Macaca mulatta: one gene and its partners. The protein of the gene in region 2 purifies or fractionates together with the protein of the main gene of each other region. This does not show direct contact. Links are inferred from orthologs where the notes say so. Each region holds a gene or a part of one and is shown on either strand. Other genes may lie near its edges. The genes, in order: LGALS1, ITGA4 and ITGB1.

Region 1 (4,260 bases), on a different chromosome or scaffold from region 2:
AGGACAGGGTGCTGTCATGCACATCCATGTAAAGAGACCACCAAACAGGCTTTGTGTGAGCAACATGGCTGTTTATTTCACCTGGGTGCAGGCGGGCTGAGTCCGAAAAGAGTCAGCGAAGGGAGATAAGGGCGGGACCGTTTTATAGGATTTGGGTAGGTAAAGGAAAATTACAGTAAAAGGGGTGTTGTTCTCTGGCAGGCAGGAGTGGGGGTCACAAGGTGCTCAGTGGGGGAGCTTTTTGAGCCAGGATGAGCCAGGAAAAGGAACTTCACAAGATAATATAATTGCTTAAGGCAAGGGCTGGCCATTTTCACTTCTTTTGTGGTAGAATGTCATCAGTTACTGCAAGGCAGGGCATTTGCACTTCTTTTGTGATTCTTCAGTTACTTCAGGCCATCTGGGCATACGTGCAAGTCACAGGGGATGCGATGGTTTGGCTTGGGCTCAGAGGCCTGACAGGTGCACAGAGCTAGGACCCCACCCCCTCCTGGCCTGGACCACCCTGGGCCATCTCCCCAGCTTGACACTCAGGCCAGAGGCTGTCAGGCCAGGGCGCTTTGACTATCCCCTGCATGCCCCTGAAGGGGGCCAAGCCCGAGGACTTAGCCAAGCCCTGCAACCTAAGGCTTGGCGTGCAGCCCAGCCTTTCCTTAGCCTTAGCTAGGAGCGAGCAAGCGCTGCAGCAGCCGCAGTCCTTGCTTCCGGGGAAGGCCCGGGTGGCGCCAGGGCCTGTGGTTTAAGTCGGTGGCCCTCTGCAGACGCGCACGCAGGAGCCACGCCCTGGTCCCTGCCCTGGAGTGGCCTGGTCTCTCCCAGCTCTGATTCCTTGAAGGACCCTGCACCTCCTCAGCCATCTTCTCTGGGCACCCCCTGAGCTCAGCCTGCTGGCCACAGGCCCCTTCCCGCCAACTCGTGGGCCTAGCTCATCATCAAACTATTTTCCATTGGCTTCCCCCAATCTCTGCCACAGCACAATTTCGGTGGTGGCGGGGCAGGGGGAGGTGGAGAGGGATGAAGAATAGGAGGTGGAGCTTGGACCCTCGTGGGGGGGCGGCAGATGGCCACTCTGATTGGTCACCTCTGCTCCAGAACTGGCTTCAAAATTCCACGGACTCCGCCCTCGGTGGCCCCCAGCCCTGTCCTGACTTGCAATTGGCTGAACTTCCAGGGGGCGGGGCTCACCCGGTCCGGTCCCGTTAAAAGGGTGGGAGCGTCCGGGGGCCCATCTCTCTCGGGTGGAGTCTTCTAACAGCTGGTGCGCCTCTCCTGGCAACATCCTCCTGGCCTCAATCATGGCTTGTGTGAGTGTGGGGACCCCACCCCAAGGTCCAGGGGATAGGGCAGGAGCTGATGGCCGGAGGAGAGCTGGGCAGATCGGGAGCAGGGTTCTAGCCCCAGCTGTGTGGCCTGGAACCACTGCCTTCTCTTTTCTAGACCTCAGTAGCCACATCTGTAAAATTGGGGTGGGCGCCATGGTCCCTCAAGGCCTTCTCTGCATTGATAATTGTTTGGATTCCTCCAGGGTCTGAAAGCACAGTTATTTCTGCCCAGGGTTGACATTCTGCAGCTCTCTGAGTAGTGAGCGTGGGAAGGGTGTGGCCAACTGGGGGACACCCAGGCCACTATATCTTTCCCCCTCCTCCACCCCAAAAAGCCTCCCGTCCCCTCCCCCCTGCAGCTGTCCCAGTCACCAGGCCCGGGCAGAGTCACCCTCTGCTCCAGAATACGCTGAAAAGTCGCCAGGACCCGAGACAGGCTGCCCAGGATGGGCCTTTCTAGGTCGGGGGTGGAGGGTGGTTGTGTCCAGGCTGGTGGGAGGGAGGGGAGCCGGGGAAATTCCCTTCCACCACCCCCAAGCTGGGAGGTTGGGGTGGCAGGGAGGTGAGAATCTTCCTCGGGCCCCAGGGAAAGGGTTCAAGTTTCTGACAGAAGAAACCACTCAAATCAGTTAACTCTTGCCCACCCACTCGGGGTGCCAGGGAGCAGCAGTGCGCAGCAGTTTTCTCAATCTTGTTAACCCTGAACCAGCCTGGCCACAGCCCGACTGCAGGCCACTCCCTAATGCAGAGGGGCCGTGTTCTTCAGGGTCTCCTCTCTAGCCCCTGGGCCTCTTCGCAGAGAGGAGCTTGAAGGAGAATAGTAGTGTCCCCCTAGCCACTTCCTCTCCAGCAGAGGGGTCGACCCCTGCATTCAGTGTGACTGTGGGCCAACTGCCTGCCCCTCCCCAGCCTGATCCTCTCTATCTGCGATGGGACAGAGCACCCCACCTCCCAAGCCACTCTTGAGTTCAAAATCCCCAGGCCAATCTGCAAAATCTTCTAGAGCCTGTCTTCTAGAACCTGATTCACATTACAGATTGAAGCCAACCCTGTTGGGAATAGGGACTTTTCCAGGACCACACAGAGAATCAGAGGCTAGAAATCACAGCCCCATCCTGTCCCCAGGCTTCCCCTTGGCTTGGTCAGAGGATGCCGGGCGGGAACAACCCCACTCCCACCCCCAGCCACCCCCGGACACTTCGGGTAGTGGAGGCCTTGTCCTCTAACCTGCTGGGCCGGGGCTTGTCTGTGCAGGGTCTGGTCGCCAGCAACCTGAATCTCAAACCTGGAGAGTGCCTCCGAGTGCGGGGCGAGGTGGCCCCCGACGCCAAGAGGTGAGAGGTGAAGTCAGGGTGGTGGGCGGCAGGGATGGGGGCTTGGTCCAGCCGAGAGGGCGTGGCCGGCCAAGTCCACGTCTCCTCCCTGGCCGAGAGTGGGTTAACGGCCGGCCGACGTTGCTGCGCTTTCTGGGTGACTCACTTCCCCCGCGGGGTCTGGGCGCCCCCACCATTGCCGCCCCCTCCCCCGCTCCCTCCCTGCTGTAGCCTCTTAAACTACAACAGCTGCAGCCTCGTCATCTATAATACCTTGGTTCCCCCGCCCCCACCCCTTTCCGGTCTGGGCGGGGCCTGCATCTGGGGAGGGCGGGGAGAAGAGTGAGGCGGGAGTCACCGCCGCCTTCCCTCTGAGTCCCTCCCTCCTGCGTCAGGTCATTCATTCACTGGCTCAGTCCTGTCCTTCTTCCTTCACTCCTCGTTCACTCAGCCGGCTGCCTTATTTTCTCAGCAGCTATGTGACCTTGGACCAGTCAACCAACCTCACCTAGCCTCATTTTGTTAGAAAAACAAGGGGGGGGAGGTGGTTGTGTGGAGGAAGTGAGATGCCGATGGTGTAGTGATGATGAGGAGGGTGAGGATCGGCTGATATTGTTAAGAGCTGATATTGTTAAGAGCCGTACACTTCTCATGCACTAATTTCATTGCAACCAAACCCTCAGAGGCAGGTATAGCTATTATCACCACTAAACAAATGCATTTATTATTTTATTTTTTGAGACGGAGTCTCACCCTGTCCTCCAGGCTGGAGTGCAATGGCTTGATCTCGGCTCACCACAACCTCCATCTCCTGGGTTCAAACGATTCTCCTGCCTCAGCCTCCCGAGTAGCTGGGACTACAGGTGCCTACCACCACGCCCAGCTACTTTTTGTACTTTTAGTAGAGATGGGGGTTCACCATGTTGGCCAGGCTGGTCTCGAACCCCTGACCTCATGATCTGCCCACCTCGGCCTCCCAAAGTGCTGGGGTTACAGGAGTGAGCCACCGTGCCCAGGAGTATTATTATTTGTTAATTCACCCCATAATTACTAAGCATCTCCTTCTGGTGTGCCCCACTTGTGCTGGGCACCAGGAACACAGATGTACAAGACAGGACGTGAAGTTGCCATCTGGAGGAAGTCTCTGACCTTGACCAAAAGGGCTAGGACGCTAGTGACTTCAAGAATCTAGCAAGTCCTCCTGTGCAGCCCCCATTGTACAGATGAGCAAACAGGCAAGGAGGGGCAGGGACTAGCTCACGTTCACACCGTAAGCAGCTGTCAGGGCCAGAGCTAGAATCCAGGTTTCTTGTCTCTGTTAGTGAGTTCTTCAAGCAAAGTGTGTTCGTGGAGTACTGAGTGACAGATTAGTCAGTCGGTGGGGCTGGAGCTGGCCGAGGTGGCCTCACACCCACCCATTACCCCCCAGCTTCGTGCTGAACCTGGGCAAAGATAGCAACAACCTGTGCCTGCACTTCAACCCTCGCTTCAACGCCCACGGCGACGCCAACACCATCGTGTGCAACAGCAAGGACGGTGGGGCCTGGGGGACCGAGCAGCGGGAGGCTGCCTTTCCTTTCCAGCCTGGAAGTGTCGCAGAGGTGGGCTGCGGACCGGAACCGGGA
Region 2 (4,276 bases):
GGCTCTGGCCAGGACTTCCTGTACTATGTAGAATAACAGTGGTGAGAGGGGTTATCCTTGTCTGTTTCAGTCCTTGGAGGAAAGGCCTTCATTTTTTCTGTGTTCAGTATGATGTTGACTGTAGGTTTGTTATATATGGCCTTTATTATTTTGAAATATGTTCCTTCTATATCCATTTTGGTGAGAATTTTTATCATAAAGGAATGTTGAATTTTATCAAATGCTGTTTCAGCATCTATTGAAATAAGTATACCATTTCTGTTAATGACTTATAATATTTAGATTGTTTTTAAAGACATAGGAAATGGGTTAGATCTCCTAAAGAGGGAAGATGGAAAGAGAATGAAAGAGGGTCCAGAATATAGCCCTGGGGATTTCCAGCACTTATGGTGGAGGGAAAGGAGACATCAGAGGAAACTCAGAGTGGCCAGATAGAAAGGGAGGAAAAAGCTTAATAAGGTGGTATCATGAGAAGAGAGTCTTTCTGGAAGGAGAAATGCTTACTCTTGATAACAACTGAAAAATAGGGTGAGTCCACATTAGAATCCTCGCTACTGGGGAGGACTTTCTACACAAGGTTAGAGATCACTTGTATTTTATCTACTATAATTTTAGTCCATAATGCATTTTCTGGCACATAGTGGGCACTTGATAAGTATTCATTCAATGACATTTAGTAATTGAGTGCCCAAATATTTATGTCGGGTTGAGAGCTAGGGATAGGCATGAGTCTTTCTTCAACATCCTTCTGATTAGAGAGATAGCAGTATCTTCAGTTTATTTTAAAGCATCATGAAACACACTTTATTCCTGCTAACATTAGGAAAAGCGAGCTGTTTTCTAAGCCTTGGAGGAAGGAAATTCAGCTAACATGTGAGATAATGTAGGGTGGCTATTTCTCGAAAGGTAGTGAATCATAGCTATAACCATAACTGTGGAAAAAAGTCCTGCCTTATCAACCACTCCATTGACTGCTAGTCACCAAAACTACGCTATGAAACAAATTGTGTTGAGTGGCTTTCATTGTAAAAGACTTTGGTGAAGGGAGGGAAAGAAGGGGTTCAGATCAGAAGATCTGGCTTTGCCAGTTTCTGGAGGGTGTCAGAATGGCTTCAATATACCTACGTCCTTGGCCTCAACTGGAGGTTTTGTAGCTGCAAACAAGAAGGATTGCGTAGTTCAGAATAACGACAATGTAAGCTAATTGTGGAACTGGGTTAAAATCAGCATGTAGATCTACTAAGAAACACACTCAGCACTACTGCAGAGAGAAACATCAGAACCATTCTCCACAGGCCCTTCATTTCTGGAAGCCATTTCATTTTTACAATAGATTTATCACACACCATATTGACTTTTTACTGTAAAGAGAAAGTTAATATTCCTCATATTTTGTCTGTTGACAGAGTGAAAATAATTGCATTGGGTTTGGCTAGAATATCCTGTCATTCCAAAAATATCTCAAACTCCACATGGCTAAAACTTAACCCATCAATGCCCCCATCTACATGCTTGCATACATGCATATTACTTCATTTCTCAGTGTTTTTTTCTCTGTGAATGGTATCACCACACACCCAGTTCCCAAATCCAAAACTGCCCTGCGGATTTTCAACAATTACGGTGGAAGAAGCCAGCAGAGGAGACTCAGAGTGCCCAGATAGGAAGGGAGGAGAAAAAAGTTCAATAAAGTGGTGCCCTGAGAGGAGAGTCTTTCAAGAAAGAGAAATACTTCTCCTTGGGCTTATCCTCTATTTATTGTTGCAGGGGCTTCCAAAATTAGGTTTTCTGTGTTCAGTCTTGCGTTCACACTTCTGAAACCCAGAGCTGACCCAGACAAATTCCTCAACTTCCTGTCAGCCCCAACATAGATTTAAAATTCCTAACCTGGCTTACGAGGTTCACCATGTATTCCTGCTTCTCTAAGTCAGGCTCATATCACACCAATCTGTGTGTGGGGTGGCTAAATACACTAGCCAGGGAAGCTCTTTCAGTTCTTCTACCTGGCCCCGCTGGAGCCCTCCTTATTGCTCATTCCGTTCTTAGCCTGATTCAAAATTCCTGGTCCTTCACATCTCTCTTTACGTGTCCTCACCTGGAACTTTCTCTAGTTAGTACAAATTTTCTATCTACCATTGGAGCAAACATTTTTTGAAAGTTTGTATCAGTCCTGCCTTACTCTTGGTGGAATCCTGTGGTCCTAGCCAAGTGCCTGCTCCATTAATGTGCTGAATAAATGAATAAGCATTTTAATTATGTATCTGTCGTTAGTGTCAGATGTGTTATTCCAGCAGGGTTTTAGCACACAGACACACTCTTTGATGCAGACTTTTCCTGTGTTTTCTTTTTACATATAGCAACAATAAAAAAAACTAGACCTTCATCTCCTGAAAATATCAGTCTAATAATCACCTATGACTGTCTCTCTGGTTGCTGAAGGGAAAAAACAAAACAAAACGAAACAAAAACAAACAAACAAAAAATCCAGGGCACACCTGGATTGCATTAGAATGAAACTCACTACCCAGTTCAGGTGTGTTGCGTCATGGGTCTCCGGCACATTTCAGAGGCTCATTAGGACCCTGACCCCACACTGGAGTTTACACCCCTAATAGCAGCTGTGTCCCGTGGCAACTGAGTGGGTGCGTGAAAAGGGGATAATCAAGAACCAGCTGGAGCAATCAGAATCGGTTAAAGTGAATCAAGTCACAGTGCTTCCTTAACCCAACCTCTCTGTTGGGGTCGGCCACAGCCTATAACCGCCTGCCATTCAACCTGAGCGGCTGCTGCTCGCCTGCTCAGGCACACAGCCCGGGGTGCAGAGGAAGTGTGGGGAGGAAGGAAGTGGGCATAGAAGGGTGCCCAGTGTGGGTCTTGAAGAGAATAGCCATAACGTCTCTGTCACCAAAATGTTCCCCAGGAGCCTTCGGCGAGTTTTTTGGGGTTTTGTTTTTAATTTGTGGCTCTTGATAATTTATCTAGTGGTTGCCTACATCTGAAAAACAAGACAGTGCTTGACTCTCAACCAAAGAACTGGACGGCTCCCCGCCGCAGTCCCAGTCCCCGAGTTTGTGGCTGGCATTTGGGCCACGCCGGGCTGCCTGCTAGAGGCTGGGCGGTCACAGCGAGGGGCACGCGGTTTGGGGCCACACAGCTCCGCTTCTAGGCCCCAACTACTGTTAAAAGGGGAAGCCCGTGCTCCATCTAGGTCCGCTCTTACTGAGCCCAGAGCCATCCCGCGCTCTGCGGGCTGGGAGGTCCGGCCGAGACGCGCGTCCTGCGCAGCCGAGGCTCCCCAGCGCCCCCTGCAGCCGCGCGTAAGGGGAGACGGGGCCCGGCCCTGCGCCACCGCACCACGCCCGGGACCCCACCCAGCGGCCCGTACCCGGAGAATCAGCGCGAGAACCCGAAGCTCCCGGCGAGCAGCAGAAACCGGGAGTGGGGCCGGGCGAGTGCGCGGCATCCCAGGCCAGCCGAATCGCTCCGCCCGCGGTGGGCCGACTTCCCCTCCTCTTCCCTCCCTCCTTCCTTTCCTGTAGCCCGCCGGCGCCGGACACGCTGCGCCTCATCTCTTGGGGCGTTCTTCCCCGTTGGCCAACCGTCGCATCCCGTGCAACTTTGGGGTAGTGGCCGTTTAGTGTTGAATGTTCCCCACCGACAGCGCATGGCTTGGGAAGCGAGGCGCGAACCTGGTCCCCGAAGGGCCGCCCTCCGGGAGACGGTGATGTTGTTGCTGTGCCTGGGGGTCCCGACCGGCCGCCCCTACAACGTGGACACTGAGAGCGCGCTGCTTTACCAGGGCCCCCCCAACACGCTGTTCGGCTACTCGGTCGTGCTGCACAGCCACGGGGCGAACCGATGGTGAGTAGAGTTGGACCAATGAGCCCTCAGCAGCTCAGAGCGGCGTGAGAACGGCGCCCAAGGGATTCCCTGCCCGGTTCAAACTTTTCTCCCTCCCAAGGAGGCAGGAGGGAAACGCTGCGAGTGCCAGCTCGCTGGAGATCTGCCAGGGAAACTAACTTATCTTGGGGTGGCAGCACCCCGGGGTGCGTTCTGGCGCAAGACCTTGGAGCTTCGAGTCGGGGGTGGTGGGCGGAAGAGGAGGTGGGAAAGCTGCCCTGCTGCCGACTGCACATCTGTTCCGACAGGGAGCTCAGTGGGCAGCACAGCTCACGTCTGAGCGCACGTGCACGTGTCTCTTTAGGCTCGTGGTGGGTGCGCCCACTGCCAACTGGCTCGCCAACGCTTCAGTGATCAATCCCGGGGCGATTTACAG
Region 3 (4,249 bases), on a different chromosome or scaffold from region 2:
TTGCTGGTAAGTAATGTGCAAATTTTCTTAGATGTGATCGCCTCATTTTCTCTTATATTTTAGATTGGCAGCAGCCAAATGGGCGTTCCAGCCCCTCATCTCCTGCAAGATTCTTCTCAGTTTCATAAATCTGGTAATTTTTGAGCTCTTTTCCCAACAGGGTGCTGCAGCTCACCAAGTGGAACCTACAACATTTTCTGCTACCAGGATAGCAGCTTGCCAGCAGCGTATACTGAAATTACTGGGTTTCAGTATGATGTTGGTTGGTACGAACTTCAATCATCGAATCGACATGCGCCCAGCCATTCTCATAATGAATGTTTCCTTCTCTTTCAAACGTTCTGTTTCCAGCCCCCATCTCCTTTTTTTTTTCTTCTTTTTTAAAGAGGTTTGAAACAGAAACTTTACTCCGTAGGAAGAAACTTTTCCTTCTCATCCCTGTTCCCCATAAAGGGACCTCCAGATAAATCTATCAAAAGCAGGACCCAACTCACCAGGTTTTCTAAAACGTTCCCCAGTCCCACCACCCTTCGTGGCACCCACGGGTTTCCCAAGTCTTCATCTTTCTCTTAGACACACGCTAGCACATTATCACTCCAGAAAAGCAGTCCTGGCTTAGCCAGTTCCCTTCCAGAATGACCACGTGGTTTTTGGCCCCATGGAGTCCTGCAGGGTATGGGGGGTTCATGGTACCGATTTGCCTCGGGACTGAGGGGGCTTCCGGGAATCAGGACCTCCCGGGCTCTAAACGGGACATCAGTGGACAAACGGGAGGGAGGGTCGGACACGCGGATCCGAGGAAGCGGAACTTAAAGAACACGGGCCCAGCAGGCTACACCAGGAACGCGCGGGGCTTTAGGGCGCAACCGACCCCTCCCGCCCTTCACAGAGGAGGAAACTGAGGCATGGCGACTGTCTCAGCGGAGTCCCGGCCCTGCCCTCCACGGCCTCCCTCAGGCGCGCTCCCGAGCGGGCCGGTTCCTTTGTCCCGGTCGCGCTTCCTGCCTCCTCCTGCGCCTCCTCCTCGCCCCGGGGCCGGGCTGACGCGGCGGGAGAGGAATGCGTTTCCGGAGGGAGAGGGCGGTGGCGGCCTCGGGAGCGGGATCAGACGCGCAGAGGAGGCGGGGCCGCGGCTGGTTTCCTGCCGGGGGGCGGCTCTGGGCCGCCGAGTCCCCTCCTCCCGCCCCTGAGGAGGAGGAGCCGCCGCCACCCGCCGCGCCCGAGACTCGGGAGGTCCCGCCAGCCCGCAGGAGAGGCCGAGCGGGAGTCGCGGAACAGCAGGCCGGAGCCCACCGCGCCGGGGCCCGGACGCCGCGCGGAGAAGGTAGGCGCCGGCGGGCCTCGGGTGTGGGGGTGCAGGCCGCGGCCTCGGGTCTGCTGTGCGCGACAGCACTTAACAGCCGCCGGCCCGGGCCGCGCCGGGACCTTTGTGCCAGGCGTGGGGGCGGGGGCGGGGGCGGCCGCGGGCCGGTGGGGGCTGGGGCGGGATTCCAGGCTAGTCCGGGAGGAAGTCCGCACACCGCCACCCCCCTCGGGTCCCAGGCGCTGGCAGCGTCCGGGCGCCGAGTCGGCCCAGCCGCGTTCTGAGCGCTAGGGTCGCGGGCCTGGGCGCTGTCACGTCGGGGCTGCTGGAGCTGCGGAGGACCGGGCCTGAGCGGCTCCTGACACCTGCGGTCTCCCGCCAGGCTGGGCGAGCGCAGGTGGGAGCCAGCGAGGCCACCCGGGGCTCGGCGTTTAGGACTCAGCGCGCCCCTGGACTGGTCCTGCGCCTTTGTCTCTCGCTCCCTCGCTGGCTGCTGTTTTTGGAGCAGCGTCGAGCCGGCCGTCGGCGCCCGCTGTTGGGATTGGTCTTCTCCGACTGGAGCCGGGATAGAAAGTGGCCTCGCGGAGCCGCTGGGGACCGGGGGCGCGGCGGCGGCAGTGCAGTTCACTTCCCGGTGTTTATAAACGCGAATGCCGGGAAGTCAAGAGTCGCCGGCCCCTGCCGGGCACCCCGGGACCAGGACACAGGGCCACGGCCACTTTGCGCTCAGACCCGGTCCGCGAGCCTGAGAGCCCGTCCTGTGTCTAGTATCATTTTTACCGCGTGTCATTTCTTAGGCTTCATAAATTGGATTTATGAGACTCCCACTCTCTAAGTAACTTTCATTTAATCAAATTCGTGCTTTTAAGTCCAAAGCTTTGCACTCATTGGTATGATCATTAGTAAGTTGCATTCTCTAAGCTTCCGTTTCCTCATCTGTGAAATAGGAACAATACTACCTACACTAATAATTCATTTTTATAACAATGACAGCGAGGGCCAGGTTTAGCTCTAGGCATTTCATGTGTATTATTTAATTCTGGAACTGCTCTAATGAGATTGCTACTGTTTCTATTTCCATTTTCCGAGTGAAGAAACGGAGGCACCGGGAGCAAAAAGTAAGTTGCATATGGTCATCGGGAGCTCCTGGAGAAGGCATGGGGTCTAGCTCCAGAGCCTACGTTTAAACCAAAAGTAACCTTCCTAACTATAGTCGTGAAAATCAAATGCAAAATGTAAAACACTTAGCTTGAGAGTAGATGCTCAATGAATATTGACTGCTTTTCAGCCCTTCTTTTATAGTAAAAAGATTTCTCGGAAGGTAATTGGTAACATCATTAGTAAGGTTTCTTTGGGCCAACATGCCACATGGATAACAGGTGGATAGAATTGCTAGGTTATTTTGTTTTGTTTTGAGACAGGGTCTCTGTCGCCCAGGCTGGAGTGCAGAGGAGCTATCACAGCTCACTGCAGCCTCAGCCTCTCGTGCTTAAGTTATTTTTCCACCTCAGCCACCTGAGTAGCTGGAACGACAGGCGCCTGCCACCATGCCCGGCTAATTTTTTAATTTTTTGTAGAGACAGGATTTCACTATGCTGCCCAGGCTGGCCTCAAACTCCTAGGCTCAAGCAGTCCTCTCTCCTAGAGCTCCCAAAGTGTTGGGATTACAGACTTGAGCCCCCTGAGCCTGGCCCTTAGGTTATTATTATTTTTCTTATTGTACTTCTGATGCTACAAAAATAACGTTCTAGAGGAATTTAGACATCTTTCTTAAACCACATATGCCCTTTACGATAGGGTATACAATAGGCCACTTTTAGAAATGATTAAGGAACTTTAGTTGGCAGTTACCTGTTCATTTGTGGACATCAAGGCCCAGAGGGGTCAGGACTTAGAGTCTCACTGTAATTCTCATATTTTTAAATAATGTTGGCTCATTGATCAATATTATATAAGTGACTGAAGATGGTGAAGTGTTAAATAAAAAACATTGGTATTTTGATTACAGGCATTTGGGGGGAAAGCCATTTTATTTATCCCAAAATTGAGTATGAAGGTGGAAGATGTTATTAGAATACTAGCTAAAAGGACAAAGAATGTGGTTAATAGCTTAATTCTGTAAAAAGGAAGCAAATAGACTGTTTAACTCATCTATGTTGACTTCAGACCTAGACCTACAATTTTATGTGATTTTCCTAACAATGTAAAGTTCTGTATTAAAGTTATTTTTGAATACCTTCAACATTCTGTACATGAAATGCATGGAATCAACAATTCTGAAAGTCACTGCATTTAGTAATTTTAACAATTAGGCAGCTTTCTTCTTAGCTTTCTGGTCAGTATAATTTAATTTAAATCAGCCCCAAATTACCATCACGAATGAAAATGTAGTTCTACATTGGTGTTCTTCCTAACTCTGGGAGTGACACTGGGGACAAATGGTCATACTATAATAATGAAAAGTGGTCAAACAACATGGTGCCAGTTTTTCTAAGAGTGCTTGCCACTGATTTTAATGTCTTTATTGTTTGACTTCTTGATAAGTAAGTTGTGGCTTACAGCAGGGAGTAGTACAGTGTTCTGTCCGAAAAAAATATTCATTAATATTCTGTAGCTGCTCTGGTTTGCCCTTAACCATGCTGCTAGTGTGATAAGCTGAAACATCTTGTAAAAGTTTCAGAGAGCTTTCAAGTTCCGAGAACTTAACTTTTCTGAGTATGTAACAAGCTACATATATCTGAAAGGATTCATTTGGACTTTTGTCAGATTTTAGCAGATTTTCTCACTCTACGAGAGAGTTAGGATCTGTTAGGTTGTGGGTGGAATCCTAGAGATTATGCCAGGTAAATATGTAAGTGTCTGTATTGTATTAGCAGTGTTTACTCTGACTTGGTTTTAGGTTCTGAGAATTTGGCTGGTTGTTTTTTCAGAGGTGGGAAGTGTGGA

What was found.
Region 1: the proteins of ITGA4 (region 2) and LGALS1 purify together in Homo sapiens (affinity purification with mass spectrometry; 3 studies listed by BioGRID and IntAct, with this or other methods). This does not show direct contact. The link is inferred for Macaca mulatta from reciprocal best matches to the Homo sapiens genes ITGA4 and LGALS1.
Region 3: the proteins of ITGA4 (region 2) and ITGB1 purify together in Homo sapiens (co-immunoprecipitation; 4 studies listed by BioGRID and IntAct, with this or other methods). This does not show direct contact. The link is inferred for Macaca mulatta from reciprocal best matches to the Homo sapiens genes ITGA4 and ITGB1.

What each region holds. Positions count from the first base shown.
Region 1 is NC_133415.1:13,851,477-13,855,736, reverse strand, and holds the start of LGALS1 (galectin-1), read left to right. Parts: upstream 1-1,235; 5' UTR 1,236-1,295; coding exon 1,296-1,304; intron 1,305-2,576; coding exon 2,577-2,656; intron 2,657-4,064; coding exon 4,065-4,236; exon of another isoform or gene 4,237-4,260. UniProt on the Homo sapiens protein: Lectin that binds beta-galactoside and a wide array of complex carbohydrates. Plays a role in regulating apoptosis, cell proliferation and cell differentiation. Inhibits CD45 protein phosphatase activity and therefore the dephosphorylation of Lyn kinase.
Region 2 is NC_133417.1:86,371,474-86,375,749, forward strand, and holds the start of ITGA4 (integrin alpha-4), read left to right. Parts: upstream 1-1,392; 5' UTR 1,393-3,664; coding exon 3,665-3,861; intron 3,862-4,204; coding exon 4,205-4,276. UniProt on the Homo sapiens protein: Integrins alpha-4/beta-1 (VLA-4) and alpha-4/beta-7 are receptors for fibronectin. They recognize one or more domains within the alternatively spliced CS-1 and CS-5 regions of fibronectin. They are also receptors for VCAM1.
Region 3 is NC_133414.1:34,341,913-34,346,161, reverse strand, and holds the start of ITGB1 (integrin beta-1), read left to right. Parts: upstream 1-1,202; 5' UTR 1,203-1,324; intron 1,325-4,249.